4 linked regions of the Drosophila melanogaster genome follow. The protein of the gene in region 2 interacts with the protein of the main gene of each other region in a pairwise test. Each region holds a gene or a part of one and is shown on either strand. Other genes may lie near its edges.

Region 1 (5,616 bases), on a different chromosome or scaffold from region 2:
GTGCTTGCATATGAATTAAAATGAACAAGAACCACGAATTGTTTTCAGTGTGGAAATGGGTCTCGCTACGCTGGGCGCAGCTGGTGGGTTCTGTAGACAAGTGAGGTGTACAGTGGTGTGGGGATTGGGATGCAGCACCCCTCCTGAAAAAGGGGAAGTTTCGAGGCCGGGATTGCCGGCGCGTTCAAGTGCTGTTTGTTGTCGTTCTGCACAGGTTCCCCTCGGGAAAGGGTATACAAACAGTACAGTCTGTGGCCAGTGTTTATGTATGTGTTGATTCGGTGCAGTCACGTTTGAAAACTAAGAAGTTTAGAGACTTGTTTACGTTTAACAATTCTCATCGGTGACTGACCCAAATATAACACATCCAGTGCGTACGTTACACATCCAACTACACTGAGAAACACAAGAAAAAAAGGGGTTTCTTTTAGTTAGTCACAGCTTTATCTTGACAATGACTGCGCTTTGACTGCAAAGTAGTATCGAATTTTAAGCCCTTTTAAGCTTAATCTGTGAAGATTGTCCTAATTGTAATGTTTATCAACAATTCAACAAAGTTGCCATAGATTTCTCACTGTGCATGACTTCATCGTTTTGTTTGCTATATCACCCCCCGTGGGGATAAAACGAATTGTGAGGACTGCGGGGAGTGTTGCGACACGCCGGTAAACCTGGCACCTCGCAGGAGGCATATTCTCATTTATTAATGCGTCGTCACTGCTGTTCCCAGTTCCCATTCCTATTCCTCCTGTGCTGCGGTGGAGTGGGCGGCTCGGGTGGCGGGTTCGTGCAAAACGGTGGTGGCCGCTGTCTCAGCCGCACTTAATTCCCGCCAGAACTGCCGGGGCCATTAAAGGATAAAAGAGCGGGATTTCTGATTGGGAAGCGCTGACCCTGTTGGCCGCGATAAGTGGGTGCGCACAGCAGCAGGAGCACGGCATCTGCCTAATCCGACCGGCCCACTGTGCAGTGGGATGGGGAGTGGGGAGCATAAGTATTGATTTTTCTCACATGTCCCCGGCAAACACACACATCTTGTCTAGGGAGCCGCATCGCCCGCCCCCACCCCACTGCCCCTGCTCGGAGCAACTTCCTCCGACACCTGGCAGCGATTTGGAAGTTTTCGCAGCTCGTAAATGCTGCACTGCAGCCATAAAACGGCCGCTGCAATGACTCGCATGAATTGCGTTTGTTTATGCTATGGAAAAGGAATCCGGGGTCTGCTGTATGTCGTTTGGGATGCTCCATAGGCAGAGAAATGCTCGATGTTACTCACTCGCCATGTTTGCCGCCTTTGTTGATTATTCCGCTGCTGCTTCTTCCGTTTTTATGCTTTTCTGCTTTTCTTGCTCTGCGTTGGTTGCGATTCCAGGCACGTTGTATCACTGTTAGCTTGTAACAAACACTGCTGATAGGCTAATGACTGCTGCGCGCAACTGAACACATTTCACGGCTTTCTTTCAGTCGCGTCTCCGTTCAACTTCCGCAATATCCGTATAATTCGTATTATCCGTGTAATCCGTATTTTCCGAATCGCGTTCAGACGTTCACACCAACAACTGCAATTCTAGTGTGACCGCAGAGCTCGAGCTGCACGATACCTCCAATGAGAGATGCCATATCGATGCTTACGCATTTTATTAACATCGATAGACATTTCTAGAATGTCTAGACTTTAATGCTTGGATTTTCCAAAAACTATAATCTGTTTCCAAAAAGTTATCGATAAGTATCGATCAGTGTTGAAACTATTTGTATTTTATATTAAATTCTGGGGTGTGACTAGTAATATTAGGAATATAAGCTTTAAAGAAAAAATCGAATTCTTTATAAGTGATTTAGTTCGAACGTTAACTTAAGATTTGCCACCACAATCGGAAAGTAGCTATTTTCTAGCTAGCTTTGCCCATTAATCGATTGGTGGCAACACTGGTCGGCACATCCCACTCACTCAACAAATTGTTTACCACAAAAAACCGTGCTGAAAGTGAACGAAAATAAAGTGCAGCCCGGCGTCGAGCATTTGCAGTGATCCCAAGACGCCCAACCATTGATTCCCGTAGCGGTGTCCACCCGGATTCCAGCCCACCGCCACCAGCACGCCATTCCATTTGGGGAGCCTCTCGGTCGGTTCGGTCAAACAGTCGCGATTGCCCGGTCGTCCACGAACGCTTATAAAATTGGCAAGATAACTAAGCAGAGCACAAAGATGCCGCCAGCATCAGCGGTAAACAACAGCAACGCGGCCGCCCAGGCGGCGAAGGCCGAGCGGGCGGAGAAGCTGCGCGGGGCACTGAAGGGCTTCATCGTGGCGGACCGCCAGCGGCGCCAGGAGGAGTTCGAGGCTCAGTGCGAGGAGCAGCGGCTGCGACGGGAGCGCGAGGAGGTGGAGCGCCAGAACCAGGTGGCCCTGGATGACACACGCGGCCAGATAACCCGACTGGACGAGCAGCTGGCCGATCTGCACAGCCAGAAGCATCAGCTGACCGTCCAACTCAAGAAGGTGCTCAACGAGGACGAAACGCGCAAGAAGCTGGCCAAGGAGAACGAACTGTTCGCCATCCAGCAGGCGGCGGCCAGTAGCCCGGTCTTCCTGCCGCCCCTGCGCCTCCAACACCAGCACCATACGCTGATGCAGAAGGTCTCGACTGCGCAATTGTGGGATTCAGGTTCTAATGGTCCTCTTTTTTCCTCGCAGCTCCCGTCCGGCGGACAGCCAGGAAAACGTGGCAGGAGTCCATCGCCGCCGAGTCAGCAGCAGGCTTACTACAAGAGCGCCGCCAGCTACGCCCAGCAGAGTAAGCCAGGAAGAGGTCGACAATGTGGTCCCTGGGCCTCCGATACAGTGAACGCTGCCTCAGGCAGGCAGTCCAAAGTCTCATGCACGCAATTTCGGTTGGATTTTGTTAACTCGAATGCGGGATCTGCTCATAATTTGATTAGTCATTGAATTGGTTAGCACATATGTATGGTTCTTGATTTGGACGAGAGATATACGTGATTTTTGTGATGTCATCATCTCTACATTCTGATTGCCAAGCCCTTTTTTAAGCTCTATGAAATATTAGCACTAATATCAATTGAACTTCTAATTAGGAATGATTGCAAAAACATGGTTAAGTGTTAAGTAAATAATCAATTCGATATAAAGAAAGTTTCGTGCTGTTTAGGCTTTGTATTGGATGGTTTAGTTTAATGTGTTTTAATGTGCACAAAAATTACCCTATTATTTTGAAGGATATATAGTGTAGAAACGATATATATAGGGTTTCTAGCAGATAGCTCGAGTTTTAAAATTCAACTGCAAATTGGCATTGGCTAAAGGTGCGATACAATCACCGATTGATCTGTTCTGCGGAGCTTTCGCTGTTCTTCTTGATTAACTGCTCGCTAACACTCCGTCCCGTTCATGAGAAATCCATTTCACTGCGCACACTAACCTCTAACAACACAGGCACACAACTTATGTTCATTTCGTTATTTGTTTACGATCGATTCGCAGAACACGATGACTACCGTCGTGCCGCTGACTATGCTAGATTATCATGGAACAGTAAGCACCTCACTTGCAATACCAAGCCCGAGATCCTCCGTCGGAACGATCGCCAGATTCGTCAATTAAACCTCACTTTTCCTCTCTTCCAGAAACAGCGGCACAGTATCCGGGCACGGGAACGGTCTTCTACCAGACGGTCGCTCCTCCGCCGACGACACAGCACCAGGCGGACGCCCGCTTGCAGTCCATCTACAACTACAACCTTCCGTTGCGCCAGGCCTACCACGTGGACCTGCCCAGCGCCACGGTCAGCAAGCCGCCCGACTCGCAGTCGCCCAAGGCACCGTCGCAGTCGCAGCCCATGCAAGTGCTTCACATCAACCTCGACCAGCCGACCATTTCGCAGGCAGACCTGGTGGCTCAAGCCGGCGGCAGCCTCTCGGTAAAGGCCTCCCAGCCACACGTGACTATGGAGAAGCTACCGGACCGCTACCACATCGAGGTGAAGCACGACGGCCAGCCGCCGAGCCACGTCCCGCCTCCGCCACACCTGCTGCCGGAGGGCGTCATCTTCAAGCCGCTGCTCAACGAACTCTCATTGCACAGCAACGTGCTGCAGATAAGCAGCAGCCAGGTGGGTCTCATTCTCAACATTTGTGGTTAATTAGCCGTGGCAGTGTCTTAGAATTTACAACTTAGAACAAACAAGTTAGATTTACATCTTCGAAATCGAAGTTCAACGATTAGGCTCTGCGAAAATGGTTTTTAAAGCCTGAGCATCTTGAATAAGAGCTGTTTTCTATAAAACAAATTCATTGTTGCAGGTTTTCATGTTTTCATAGGAAAACGCATTAGAACCAACTTCCCAACTACTGATTAACATGTTTGATATCATTTACAAGGAAGAACTAAATATTCACTTGACTAACGCCTGGCCAGTTTCCTCCACAGAATCCGAAAACAGCGGGAAGCATCACACAGGGCTATGCCCCTGGACGAGGTGGATCCGCCCACGAGCAGCAGTTGGCTCGGCAACAGCTGGCGATGCTGCCTGGCCAGCCGGGAGCACCGTCCGGATCCGGCTCCGCCCAGCCGCCTCCTGGTCAGCAGATGCATTACACGCGGCGATTGTACTAGCCTCTAACCCCTAACCCCTTTTGTCGCTACGGAACTCGCTAACTGATATACTTACGATTTTAAATAGACATTACAACACTGACTACGCTTCCCACGTGAAGTCGGATAAACGAAATAAAGCACACAACTATGGCGTCCCTATTTTCCAATCGACAATACCATACTGATATTTGATATTGATTTGATATTTGGTATCAATGGGCTTCTGTGGTTCTGTGGTTATACCATAATAACTTTGAGGTATCGTAGTTCTAATCACCAACAGGCAAATTGATCTAACTCGAAAGAGTTTTTGAAATTCTGGGCAATAGAAATTGGATCATGTATACATATAAAAAATGACTATTATATAAAATGGTATGTACAGCTGTGTTCAGAAAAATAGCAGTGCGAGGAATACTAATTAATACAAAGGTATTTTTCCATGTCCCTTTTCGGAATTGACTTTTTATTCCACTTATTTTTGTTAAATGGAATGTGTATATAGGGAAAAAAAGAAAATCCGGTTAGTTTTTCATGTTATCCTTTTTTTATTTACTTTCTTAAGCGAAATCACAACTTTTAGGCTGTTCATAAGAATAGCAGTGTCTGGTTTTGACCAACGTAAAGTCAGGAAATGATCAATATTTTTAAAAAGTGAGTTTGATTAATTCGTACATTTAAAAGGGGAGTAAATGAAAAAAATTATATATTAGTGGGTAAAGGACAGCACTGCTCCCAGGAGAAAAGAATGTTAATTATTAAGCTTAGAAAGGAAGTAAAAACATATATGAACATTCAAAAAACCCTTGAATGTTCTGCCAAAATGGTATCCAATGTCATTAAATATGAATGGAAGCCCGAAAACCGTGGTTCCATAGATATAACCACAGATATATAGCATCGACGCATTGTTTCTTACAGCAAAGTCTATCCTTTTGCATCCTTTAGGGACATAAAGTCTGAGCTCAACTTGGGAATCAGGGACGATACTATTCGAAGAC
Region 2 (3,803 bases):
GATTGCGGCTCGGCTGTTGCTATATCGTCCTGTTTATGCCTGATTAAAGTCAAACAACAAACATATTCTGAGCTGCATTTACCAGACAATCGTATAAACATATACACATGTGGTCATCAGAATAGAATTTATTAGTTGGGAGATCTACAAATCTGCCAATTATTTTAAGCAAATTGTTTTTACTCTCCTTTAACGCAAACAACTTTTATTTATTTAGTTAGTAGCCCTAATTAATATATTACCTGCTAAGTAATACTTGGAACTATTGTTTTCCATACAAATATATAATCCCGCATCTCTGGCCCGAAAAGTCCTCTCTAATCTATGCAGAGAAATGCTTGACAGTGCCTTGTTGTGTGGCTCAACTTTGGCCCCAATCCTAAATCCTTTGTGTCCTTCGTGGCCAGGATTTGCTTCTCATTACCAAGAAGCCCCCATTGTTCGCTCCACTGGGAGGAGCACGTGTGAGAAAGGTTGATGGCCAGGGACATGGGTTTGTGCAGTTTGGTTCTCGCCTTCTCCGCTCCCAAATTATGCAAATTGCTCGAAATTTTGCATTGGATAATTTCCCTATTTGCCCGTAATGCTCAATAAAAAAAAAAAAAATACAAACACAAAAAACATTTTATGACCCAAGAGACCAACGATGGCAGCAAATGGCTGAGCAGAAAAAATACTGAACAGTTGTATAAATGCACCAACAAAAATAAAAATAATATAAAAACAGAACAAACTGCGACGCATTTAATTAAAAATGTAATTACCCATGCTTTTCAACAGCCACATTGCTCGAAGCGGTAGCCAGAGGCTATGAAAACATTATTCGGAAAATTGTTGCAAATTTAATTGTTAAATCCTGCTATATTTTACTGCGGTGTTACTGCATCACGGAGCAGTTGTAGTTTTTTCCATTTCACAAATTTATCTTACTGAAAATGAGTTTAAGAACCATGTCAGAAAAGAGCGTGGGGCAACTAACAAAAAAAAAATTTTAAAAAACTAACTAGTAATCTTTTGTTGTCAATGCCTTGAATTTTCCACAATTTCAGTCTAAATGGAAAACTGTCAATGAAAAGACAATATTTAAACACAACTATTTTCGAAAAACTAAATTTTAAAATTCATCTTTTCGGGAAATCCAAATTTTAGCCCAAGGTATACTTACAATTTGCCATGGATGACTTTGATTTCAGTAGTCCACCTCCGGAGGTACGAACAGTTCATACCCACACGCTGAATGATGAACAGCTCAAGGATTGTGAGGCGGCCTTCGCCCTCTTCGACGACGATAATGCCAAGGTCATTCCGATCAAGTTATTGAGAGATTGCCTGCGAGCCGTGGCCCACAACCCGCCGGAAAACGAGATACAGGATTATATAACCGAAATTGATACGGATGGATCCGGCGAGCTTTATCTCAGTGATTTCCTATACATCATGTCGAAACGGTACGAGAATTTGACCGTCGAAGATGAAGTTATCCTCGCTTTCAAAGTCTTCGACAAAGATGGATCTGGCTTTATACACGAGAATGAGTTCCGTCAGATAATGACTGAATATGGCGATGAAATGGAAGAGGACGAGATCGAGGAAATGATACGTGATGCCGACGCCAACACGGAACTGAAAATCGACTACGTTCGCTTTGTGACCATGATGATGGAGACGTAACACTCTCTTTGAAAAATAAAAAACATAACCGATTGTAGATCTAATCAATAAATTTCAAAAGCATGGCCAATGGAATCGAAGATCTTGAAATATCGGATACCACCAGTTTGGACTATTCTTTAAAAAAAAAAAAAAGCCAATATACAATAGATAAAATGATAACAAGAGTAGGCTTTTCTTGTTATTAAATTATAAATATGAAGTTGTGAACTAAAGTTTGTCGAAAATTTGTAGTGAGTGTTCAGTGACCCCAAAATTTTCCCACCCCCAACCCCTTCCTTTGGCCATGGATTTCGAATTCCTTACTCCGCCGCCAGAGGAACGGACCATTCGCACCCACAATCTGACCGAAGAACAGGTCAAGGATTTGGAGATTGCCTTTTCCCTGTTTGACGACCAAGACACTAAGGTTATTCCTATAACAAATCTCAGGCAACTAATGCTGTCTGTGGCCCACTATCCCAGTGATATGGAATTGCAGGAAATTCAGGCCGAGATCGATGCTGATGGATCCGGTGAGTTATATCTCAGCGATTTCCTTCACATCATGTCTCAGAGGTACGCAAACATGTCTACCGAGGATGAAATTATAGCTGCATTCAGAGTCTTTGACAAAGAAGGAACCGGCTTAATATCTGAATCGGAATTTCGTCACATAATGCAGAACATGGGGGAGCAATTGACGGATGATGAGGTGGAGGAGATCATCCGTGATGCAAATTCTGATTTGGAAGGCAATATAGACTATGTGCGATTTGTCAGAATGATGTCCACTACATAAGGAAAAAGCAGGCTTTAGGGGTTGGGAACCCGACCTGTCAGTATCAGTATCATCAAAACAGTTTCGGCTCATTCCCTTTCGTAAATTCCAACAGTCTATAGCTCTGCAAGCATTTAAAAATATCTCGATAAATACCGAAAATCTTTGAAAATTTATCAAGATGTCCGAACTAACGGAGGAGCAGATTGCCGAGTTCAAGGATGCCTTTGTCCAGTTCGACAAGGAGGGAACCGGCAAGATCGCCACCCGTGAGCTGGGCACATTGATGCGCACCTTGGGCCAGAATCCAACGGAGGCCGAGTTGCAAGATTTGATAGCTGAGGCCGAGAACAACAACAATGGCCAACTGAACTTCACTGAGTTCTGCGGTATAATGGCCAAGCAAATGCGGGAAACTGACACTGAGGAGGAAATGCGTGAGGCATTCAAGATTTTTGATCGTGATGGCGATGGCTTTATATCACCAGCTGAGCTTCGCTTTGTGATGATCAATCTGGGCGAAAAGGTCACCGACGAGGAGATCGATGAGATGATTCGCGAGGCTGATTTTGATGGGGATGGCATGATCAACTACGAGGAATTCGTATGGATGATAAGCCAGAAGTAGTACAGCTACTTTAAATGAAATAAAAATATTTGGGGTCACTGCATAAAAAAAATCGTGTATTTCTCTTCAAAAAATACAATTTACACTTCTCTGCGGTCTAACTATTTTCGAACACTTTTTAATACGCCCCCAATTATTTCAATTATATTTTTGCGGTGTGCTAGTTTTTCCTTTGCCTAATTCGGAGACCGAGAATTTTTCAAGCATGTCCTGCTCTTAAAAATGTTTGATGAAGGCACCCCATTTCGGTAATTGTGGTTGGTTTAAGGAATTTTCGCCTCGCCTTCTTCAGGTGAAAACTTTCAGCATGAAACACTCGACGTGGTTTTAGTCCGCCTTTTCGTTTCCCTGGCAAGTGGTTTTTGCTTCCACATGCGGCACCTTTGTGGCCAGACGAACAATTTTCCTGTTGCTTAAATTCAATTTGCTTATGCATTAAAATTAAATTTTACTGTGGCCTCAGCGGGCCCGGCTCGTACTCCTTGCTGGAAGCAACCTCTTGGGGTCTTTGGGGCTTGTGTCTGACTTTATAAATATTTCGTGTGTGTTGTGTACGCGCATGTATGAATTTTCAATTTTTTGAACAAGTTTCGGTTTCAGTTCAGACATGTCAAAATGTCAACTTGCTTAATTGAGAGTCCGCAAAACATCGAGCATCGCATCGCATTGCATCGCATTGCATCGAATCGAATCGAATCGAGACCTTAACTTCAATGTGCATTCGCATGGAATAAGAACAAAAGC
Region 3 (5,050 bases), on a different chromosome or scaffold from region 2:
CCGATCCTATGGTGCAGTGTATCATCGAAGAGTCCGGCGAGCATATCATTGCTGGTGCCGGTGAGCTGCATTTGGAGATCTGCCTTAAGGATCTAGAGGAAGACCACGCTTGTATCCCACTGAAGAAGTCTGATCCCGTCGTCTCCTACCGTGAGACTGTGTCGGAGGAGTCCGACCAGATGTGTCTGTCCAAGTCGCCCAACAAGCACAACCGTCTGCTGATGAAAGCCCTACCTATGCCAGACGGTCTTCCCGAGGACATTGATAACGGCGATGTGAGTGCCAAGGATGAGTTCAAGGCTCGTGCCCGTTATTTGTCTGAGAAGTACGACTACGATGTGACTGAGGCCCGTAAGATCTGGTGCTTCGGCCCCGACGGAACCGGTCCGAATTTCATCCTCGACTGTACCAAGTCCGTGCAGTACCTTAACGAAATCAAGGACTCTGTTGTCGCTGGATTCCAATGGGCCTCAAAGGAGGGTATTTTAGCCGACGAAAACTTGCGCGGTGTCCGCTTCAACATCTACGATGTGACACTTCACGCTGATGCCATCCATCGTGGTGGTGGCCAGATCATTCCAACCACTCGTCGTTGTCTGTACGCTGCCGCTATAACCGCCAAGCCGCGCCTGATGGAGCCTGTTTACCTGTGCGAGATCCAGTGCCCCGAGGTTGCTGTAGGAGGAATATACGGTGTGCTCAACAGGCGACGTGGCCATGTATTCGAGGAAAACCAGGTTGTGGGCACTCCCATGTTCGTTGTGAAGGCATACCTGCCCGTCAACGAGTCATTCGGTTTTACCGCCGATCTGCGCTCTAATACCGGAGGACAGGCCTTCCCTCAATGTGTCTTCGATCATTGGCAGGTGTTGCCTGGCGATCCGAGCGAGCCCTCAAGCAAGCCCTATGCCATCGTCCAGGATACTCGTAAGCGCAAGGGTCTTAAGGAAGGATTGCCCGATCTATCCCAGTACTTGGACAAGTTGTAAAGCACCACCACCCGATCCCCCACAACATCCAAGTGCAGCTGGCTGAGCGGAAAAGCATAGAAAAATATGGAGTGACCGAATTTAACATCTTTATTCGGCAAGGCACTTGAAACATCGCCTTTGGTCAATGTTTTAAAACAAATAAAAACAATAAAAATTTTGATGATTATGAATTGTATAACATTAAATCAAGAATAAATCAAGTAAATGATTTAATACTTATCTTTACATAAATCAGAGCGCCGCTATGTGACTGACACGAGAATTGATTTTGGTTTAATTTTGTTTGCGAAAAATTTACAAATTATGCGCTCTCTTGTGTCCTTGCCATACATTAAAGCGATTTGTCGGTGACGATACCCATATACACTGGAATACGTGAATAAAGTTAGACGCATATTTTAGTTTTTATTACTTAGTCTGGTCGTCCATTTGTGAAAATAATGCAGTCAGCCGTTCCTACCGCGCCGGTGTGGGTTGAAGTCCTTGCTAAGCAATATCGCCGTTTAAGTAAAATGAATATTAACTCGATATCCGACATGACCAACAAATTTTCAGAATGTCAAGTACTAGAAATTTAGGTTTTAAGTTTATTTCTGCACTGATCTATCTATTTATTTGCTCCATTTTTGCTGATAGAAACTCTTGTTGAAAGAAACACTTCTTTGTAAACAGTCAACGACGATTTATGCTGCGCGTGTCGAAAGATATCGATAAAATATTTTGGTACATTTCTGATATCCCTAGATTTGTGAACGTTTCTCTGTCATAAACAAAAGTTTGCTTTCGTGTTGTCGGAAAGTCGGTGATAAGTAGGTTCTCTGGTCTCTGGCATGGGCATTTTCATGTGTGTTTGAGATAAAAGCCCATTGCGAAATTAGAATATTCTCGGACATAACCGTTCAAAGCCGATGGTACCGTGCTTTAAGTGTCGCCGCGGCGTCTGCCATTCGTGGACCCCCTGCCCTCTTCGCTTTGAGTTTTCTATTATTAGCAGCTTTTCGCTTCGAAAGACTTCTGTTTGACCATTTTGTGAGCCGACAGCAGAAGCTTCCGAACAACTCCAGGCAGTCGAAAAAGTCGGTTCGCCTTGTCGGCAGTTAGTGCATGTGTCTGCATTTGAAAAAATCGATGCCAGACTGCAGAAACTTCATTGAGAACGAAAAGGAGTGAGAAGATGAAAGCCAACAGCAGTAAGTTTTACTGCTAGACAATGTGGCCCTCGATTTTGTGCGTATATGGATGTAACAGTTACTGTAAGCGTTAGACATTAACTGATAACACCGGAAATGAATTTTTCCCATATTAGGGTTTTTCCCATTATACACTATTGACGCAAATTGGTCGAGTATGATTTTTGAGGCAAGCTCAGTTGCTGTTGCAAATGGTTTTCAATTGACCAAAGACGAACAAACGTGTTTTTACATGTACATACATATGTATGTATACATGTAGCCAGCCGTACAAGGTGTGTGTGTGTGGGTGGAGGTTGACGAGAATGCTTTGTGAGAGCGCCTGACTGGGGGGGACCCAAACTCTTCGCCTAGACCCCAAAGTGTATAGAAAATATGAATGAAGATGAGGCAGAGTGCGAATAGTGAGCTTCTACACTCTTCTCTCCCGAGTAGATGTTGTCTCGTTCTCCTCGCAGCACTTCATTCTCAAAATCGTTCTCCGCGAAAAATCAATGCATAAAAACGGTGAACGGTGAACAGTTTTTAATTGCCCGGAGTTGCGCGTGTGTTTACCTTTTTTGGTGTAAATGCCATAAGGATTTTTGTGAAAGGATGAAAAATGTTTAAATGTGTGGCATACAATGACAATGTACTTATATATTCACACATTCATATGTGAAATAGCAGTGCTAAGAAATACAAAGGAATTTTTCCATGTCCCTTTTTGGAATCGACTTTTTATTCCACTTATTTTTGTAAAATGGAATGTGTAGATAGGAAAAAAGGAAATCCCGTTAGTTTTTCATGTTATCTTTATTTTATTTACATTCTTTAGCAAATTCACAACTTTTAGGCTGTTCATGAGAATAGCAGATTCTGGCTTTGTCCAACTTAAAGTCCCAAAATTATCAATATAAGTTCAAGCAAGTTCAATCCTTTTGCATCCTCTGGGGACATAAAGTCTGAGCAGCACTTTGGAATCATCGAAGTTACAATTCGGAGACGACTACTGAATCAAAATTTAAGTGCTAGGAGTCCACGAAAGGTTCTCCTACTTAGCCCAAGGCATAATAAGGAAAGGTTAAAGTTCGCTAAAACCCACCTATACTGGCCAGTCTCCAAATGGTGTAAGATCCTTTGGACTGATGGGTCAAAAATTGTGCTATTTGGTGGAACTGGTTCACTACAGTATATCAGACGACCTCCAAACACGGAGTACCACCCAAAACACCAAGCCAACACTTTCAATTATGGTGGACCTAAAATACTGGTATGGGTTTGATTTTCTTTACAATGGTATTAGTCCAAAACATATGATTTTTGGTATTATAGACCAAAAAGCATATGCAAATTTACTTAGTGATGTCTTACTGTCATAAACTGAATGGAATATGCCCTTAAAATGGACATTCCAACAGGATAATGATGCAAATCGGCTAAGAATTGGTTCGACCAAAATAGAATAAAGATAAGGCCGTGGCCAGCACCATCTTCCGATTTAAACCCGATCGAAAACCTGTGGGGGTACTTTAAACAATATGTGTCAATGAACTCCCCGACGTTTAAGGCTCAGCTTTGCCAAGTTGTGCAGGATGCATGGTAAAAAAGTTGCCAGGACCTGGTGCACTCCAAGCCGCGTAGGTGAAAGCCTTTGGTGGCTGGCAGATGCTATCCAACCAAGTATTAGACCCTAATTAACACATTAAAAAGAAAAACTAAGTTCGTTATAAGTCAAGTTGAACTTTGTTACTATTTTTTTAGAATTTCTGCCTATTATGTTGTTTTAATATATATTTCGAAACTATTAATGAAATAAAAGTGAAACATTGTTGAATTGTTTAAAATTAAATACCTAATGAAATTATAAAAAAAATGATCCCAAGCTCTGCTATTTTTATGAACACAGCTGTACGTCTAGTGTTAAAATTGCAAAATAATATAGTAGTACAATTCTGAATTTAAAACTAGATTGGGCGTAAAAAAATTTTATTTTTATACATACATGTATTTGTCGGACTAAGATATGTACAGCTGTGTTCAGAAAAATAGCAGTGCGAAGGAAACTAAGTAATACAAAGGTATTTTTCCATGTCCCTTTTCGGAATCGACTTTTTATTCCACTTATTTTTGTTAAATGGAATGTGTAGATAAGGAAAAAAAAGAAAATCCGGTTAGTTTTTCATGTTATCCTTCTTTTATTTGCATTCTTGAGCAAAATCGCAAGTTTTAGGCTGTTCATAGGAATAGCAGTGCCTGGTTTGAAATGATCATTATTTTCTAAAAAGTGAGTTTGGATAAGTTAATTTATATATTTAAAAGGGCAATAAATTTAAAAAAAAAATAAAAAAAATTATATTTTAGTGGATAGAGGACAGCACTGCTCCCAGCAGAAAATAATGTAAATTCATAAGCTAAGAAAGGAAGGAAAAACATAAAGGGACATTCAAAAAACCCTTGAATGTTTTCCAAAATGGTATCCAATGCCATTAAATATGAATGGAAGCCCGAAACCCGTGGTACCAAACAAAAAACCACAGATATAGAGGATCGACGCATAGTTCGTTAGAGCAACGCCTATCCTTTTGCATCCTCTAGGGACATAAAATCTGAGCTGAACTTGGGAATCAGTGACGTTACTATTCGGAGACGACTACTGAATCAAAATTTCAGTGCGAGGAGTCCACGAAAGGTTCCCCCACTTAGCCCAAGGCTTATTCAGGCAAGGTTCACCTTCGCTAAAACCTACCGAAACTGGCCAGTCTGCAAATGGCGTAATATCCTTTGGACTGATCGGTCAAAAATAGTGCTTTTTGGTGGAACTGGTTCACTACAGTATATCTGACGACCTCCAAACACCGAGTACCACCCAAAACACCCACTGAAGAC
Region 4 (4,191 bases), 8.1 Mb from region 2:
GAGCATAGCATCGTTTCGCTGAAAGTCCATTTTTGTAAGAATAGTAACCGGCCGCTTTTAACTTAACATCTAATGTTCACGTCTATCGATAACAATGCATTTAAATCGGCGATAGCTATTAAAAAGATAGATACATATTAAAGATTTTAGAGTGTGGTCAACATATATAATATTAATAGGAATCTAGTTCTATTAGAAAATAAGGTCAATAAAGCATTTGTTGATCGAATTAACAAAAAACCTAGTTTAGTTAACACAATCAAGTTGGCAGCCCTGCGACAAACTTGGTATATCGATAGTTGTCGCCTTATTTTCCAAATCCATTCCCAAATTGTTATTATTGAAATAATTTTAAAAATGATCGGTAGACTTTCTTTTTGGAACAAGGACAACGTTTCCAACGAGGTGGACTGCTTGGCCTGCCGTCTGGTCAGTGGCCTTGGACTCCTGGGAATTGGTGCCTTCCTATTGGCACAGTCGAAAAAAAGACAAGCGAAACCTCTGGAGAATTTCACTATGAAAGGCTTGGCTGCAGGTGAGCCACTTGGGATCTTAAATCCGGTCTTATGTTTACTCCTTTCTCCTTCGTCGCCATAGCCGTTGGAGTTCTGGGCGTGGCCCGCCTGGCAGACGCGAATTTCCTGAAGGCAACCGCCGAGAAGCCAAAAGAACAGGAAAATACTAGCACTGATCATCAGTTCTTTTCTAGACGTTAATTCAATGACGTTTTAATTATAATCGTAGAGTCACTTAATATATAAAGGTTAATGTTTTCTTTTGTACGACCATGTGGCATTACAATAATATAGCTGTAACCTTGTTTTTAGAATTTTTTCTATTTAAAATCGTTGAAAACAAAACCTTGTTTGCTTTAATGAATTTATGATTTATTTTAAATAAATTAATTACATAGGCATACACAATATTGCATCTTTTGAAAGAGGATCATAAATAAACATATGTTTGTATTAATAATAATATTATAAAATATCAACAGGATTCTTATTTTATAGCTTTCAAAAAAGGTGTTTGCTTGTTCATAGCTTGGCTGTTGATCTATCTATTGATTTCTGCTAAATGTTGTTGCTTGGCTTTAAAGGATATTTTATAGATGCAATTTTAAAACTTTTATGTTCTTTATGTCCTTTTATGTTATATTGTGTCGATTGCGTTCCTTTACTGTTAATCGTCTAGAATCCCACTTTCCCCAGCTTGGTATCAGTCTTTGGATTGGCCGTGATGTTCTGCACCGCCACAATGGTCTCATTGATGTGTGTCTGCAGCTCGCGTAGGCTCTGGATCTGGAGAAGACGTAGTATGCGCATGGGCAGGTCCAGGGCAGAGTCGTTGGACGAGACGACGTCGTTTCCCTTGTCAAAAGGGAAGGGTTTACCCACTACCGGCTTGCGATCCTTGGCGGCGGGCGAGAGGCGTTCGTGCACCACGCGAGCGATAGCCTCCAGCTGCAACAGATGGTTCGGGTGGTGCGGCACATTCAGTTTGCTGGCCAGCAGCCGGACTCCATCCACGAACGCTTTTTCCTGAGCTGGTGGGAAGAAAGAATTAATACTTGTTGTACTTTACCTGATTATCATCTATAGATAATAAAAGTGGTTTTTGGAACCTCTTAAAAAATCCATAATATATAAATTTAAAGTTCCTTAAATGGTAAATTTAGTTAAAATCAGACCATACTATTAATATTTCCATCGAAAATAGCCTGGACCCTTTGTTGGGACTGCTTGCCATTGCTTTGGGGTGGCACCTGTTTGGTGTTAATCGAGGCAAACTGATCAGGATCATCGAGGAAGTCCAGGCGCACAGCATAGCTGACAATCCAGGCCAGCTGCTCCTGCCGCGTCTCCAGGGGCGGCATGCTCAAATCGGCACAGTACTTTAAGTAACCCTCCTTCCAGATCTCAGGGTTGTCGACAGTGCGCAGCTTACAGCGATCCTCTATGGAGTAAAGCCGGATCTTCTGGTCCTCCAACCAGAGGACTGTGTTGGCGAATTCCTTGCGGTCTGCGGAACGAAAAGAATGGGATGACTTATAGCCCCATCAGGAAAACTAGACAATTACCGCTCATCACCACCGGGATGTCAACATCGGGACGACCCAGTACCTCGAGTTTCATCTTGAGCGACAGCATGCTTTCAACGGATTACTATACAAAAATCGATTCGCTCTGTTAATTTACAAAAAATGTTACAGCCGGCTGTGCTTATTCTTATCGCCCAAATTTAAGGGATGGAACATTAAACGAGAGGACTTATCGACGTAGAAATTGGGCTGCCAACTTGCTGTGATAAAGCTGTTCGAATTTAATAATCTCGAAAAAGTATCGATATATAATTTTTAAATCAAATATTTTGTAAGAAACTACTTACTGTCAAAAAGTATTTTTTCCGATAATTATTTTTTTGCACATCATATTATTCAATTAATTGAAGAACTATTAATACAATTTTAAAGCTCTTCATTGACCGATTAAAATTGTCAATTAATTAAAAAAGTCAAATTTATCCCGGAACACGCGAATTCTTAATATTAATGTAAGTTCTTTTAAAATTGATTTTTGAAATTGTAAATTTGAACAAATTGACATTGTAAATACAATGCACAAATTCCCAATCGAGTAACATCGACCTCAATGCTGAAAGTACAGCCTAATAACAGACAAAAGATCTTGTTACTAGACATTTTTGAAAACCTAGACATGGTATTTAGGTGCTCAATTGCATATTATCTCGAATATACATTTATATAATAATCTTTCGCTCAACAGTGAATGTCCTACGCTGAACAGAAGCAATATAGTTTATAATAATATAATAAGAAATATTTTGGGAATGCGTTACCATAGGATTCATCAATCTGACCAATTGATTTGCACTGAAAAAATCGAAATGAGTTCTAAAAAGTATTTCCCCGCCAAAAAATATTTTTCCCTTATCAGCGATAAGAAACGACAAGTACAAAGGCTGTATTGTATATCATATATGTATGTATATTAATTAAATAATTAAATTAAGTTTGAGGGACATACATTTACATCCTAGCAAATTATAGACTAATAACTACACGTTATATATCGAGATGCTGAGTTATAATATTTGTTTGCAAACAACTACACGAATACACGTATCAACAGCAGCAGTTTCCTATTATCTCCCAATATCTTGCAGTTCCTCTGGATCCAGAGGATCGCCACCGGAAACCGGAAGGACCTCTAGACTTGCTCATGCCAGAATCTGGAGACATTTCATTTTCGATCTCTTATGTAGCACGTTAATTATGTGTGAGAAAGTTTAGTATACAAATTGGTGCACCCACCCATGTATGGTTTTGCATTAATTGTTTATTGGTTTCCTAACGCCAAGCATTTTGGGTGTGGGTGTGGATGTGTGGTTATTAGTCCTTTTTGCGTGCTTCTCTACAGCTTTAGTTCGATTTGCTTCGCTTTGTGTTTTATAGCATTTTATGGTTTCGTTTTGTTTTGCTTTGTTTTCTTGGTTTTATTTGTTTTGCATTTTAAATTAAGATTAAGATAAAAACCTAATTATTTATCTTGTCATTTACGCCTTAAGTAAGTTCGATATAAAATAAAACGAAGCAGCAGCACTTCCAGCAAATAATACAGTTAACATAAGATTACAGCATTAGGGTTTCATTTTTTCGATTTTTCATGTTTCGTTTATATTAATTATGTATGTATATGTTATGTATTTTTATATATTATATCACCTAATTTGATTTCAATTTAAATTGTTTGCTTGCCTTCATCTGAGGGTTTTTCATTTTTGCTTGTTTGCTTGTTTCTCTCGCTTAATTTCATTTCCATTCGCCTCCGAGTTATGCGATTAAAACTAAGAAGTTGGAATTTTCGCAGCCCATCAATACATCATACAACATCATACACATAAACATAATACAAAATGCAGTGCTGCCACTTACATGTGCCTTGTAACATTGCGTAAAAACAAAAATACAGTGAAATTTACATAATAGTTAAGTATGTACAATGGTTTTTAGTCATCTCTAAGGATTCGTCCTTCTGCAACATTTAGACCACATTGAATCCAATAAACTGCCTTATATACGTGTTGCTTTTAAATATTTCCGCGTGAACTTTGGTGTTCGTTCAGTTCGATCAGTTTATGAGTTCCTATGCTGCACATTGTGGTAATATG

The links.
Region 1: the proteins of Acam (region 2) and CG17002 interact in a two-hybrid assay, tested with the Drosophila melanogaster proteins (one large-scale study listed by BioGRID).
Region 3: the proteins of Acam (region 2) and CG2225 interact in a two-hybrid assay, tested with the Drosophila melanogaster proteins (one large-scale study listed by BioGRID).
Region 4: the proteins of Acam (region 2) and CG31249 interact in a two-hybrid assay, tested with the Drosophila melanogaster proteins (one large-scale study listed by BioGRID).

The regions. Positions count from the first base shown.
Region 1 is NT_033778.4:6,984,136-6,989,751, forward strand, and holds CG17002 (uncharacterized protein), read left to right. Parts: upstream 1-1,907; 5' UTR 1,908-2,209; coding exon 2,210-2,641; intron 2,642-2,698; coding exon 2,699-2,798; intron 2,799-3,502; coding exon 3,503-3,553; intron 3,554-3,645; coding exon 3,646-4,130; intron 4,131-4,435; coding exon 4,436-4,633; 3' UTR 4,634-4,787; downstream 4,788-5,616. Other genes in the region: vimar (visceral mesodermal armadillo-repeats), read right to left, coding at 1,277-1,283.
Region 2 is NT_033777.3:25,810,032-25,813,834, forward strand, and holds Acam (androcam), read left to right. Parts: upstream 1-1,879; 5' UTR 1,880-1,957; coding exon of another isoform or gene 1,958-2,452; 5' UTR 2,453-2,612; coding exon 2,613-3,059; 3' UTR 3,060-3,103; downstream 3,104-3,803. Other genes in the region: CG5024 (uncharacterized protein), read left to right, coding at 1,174-1,671; CG17770 (uncharacterized protein), read left to right, coding at 1,958-2,452. UniProt on the Drosophila melanogaster protein: May be involved in calcium-mediated signal transduction.
Region 3 is NT_033779.5:21,674,250-21,679,299, reverse strand, and holds the start of CG2225 (uncharacterized protein), read left to right. Parts: upstream 1-1,769; 5' UTR 1,770-1,801; exon of another isoform or gene 1,802-2,245; intron 2,246-3,072; exon of another isoform or gene 3,073-3,434; intron 3,435-5,050. Other genes in the region: eEF2 (eukaryotic translation elongation factor 2), read left to right, coding at 1-989.
Region 4 is NT_033777.3:17,684,816-17,689,006, forward strand, and holds CG31249 (uncharacterized protein), read right to left. Parts: upstream 2,257-4,191; 5' UTR 2,151-2,256; coding exon 2,081-2,150; intron 2,023-2,080; coding exon 1,696-2,022; intron 1,547-1,695; coding exon 1,191-1,546; 3' UTR 874-1,190; downstream 1-873. Other genes in the region: CG31251 (uncharacterized protein), read right to left, coding at 1-30; CG31360 (uncharacterized protein), read left to right, coding at 358-535, 598-716.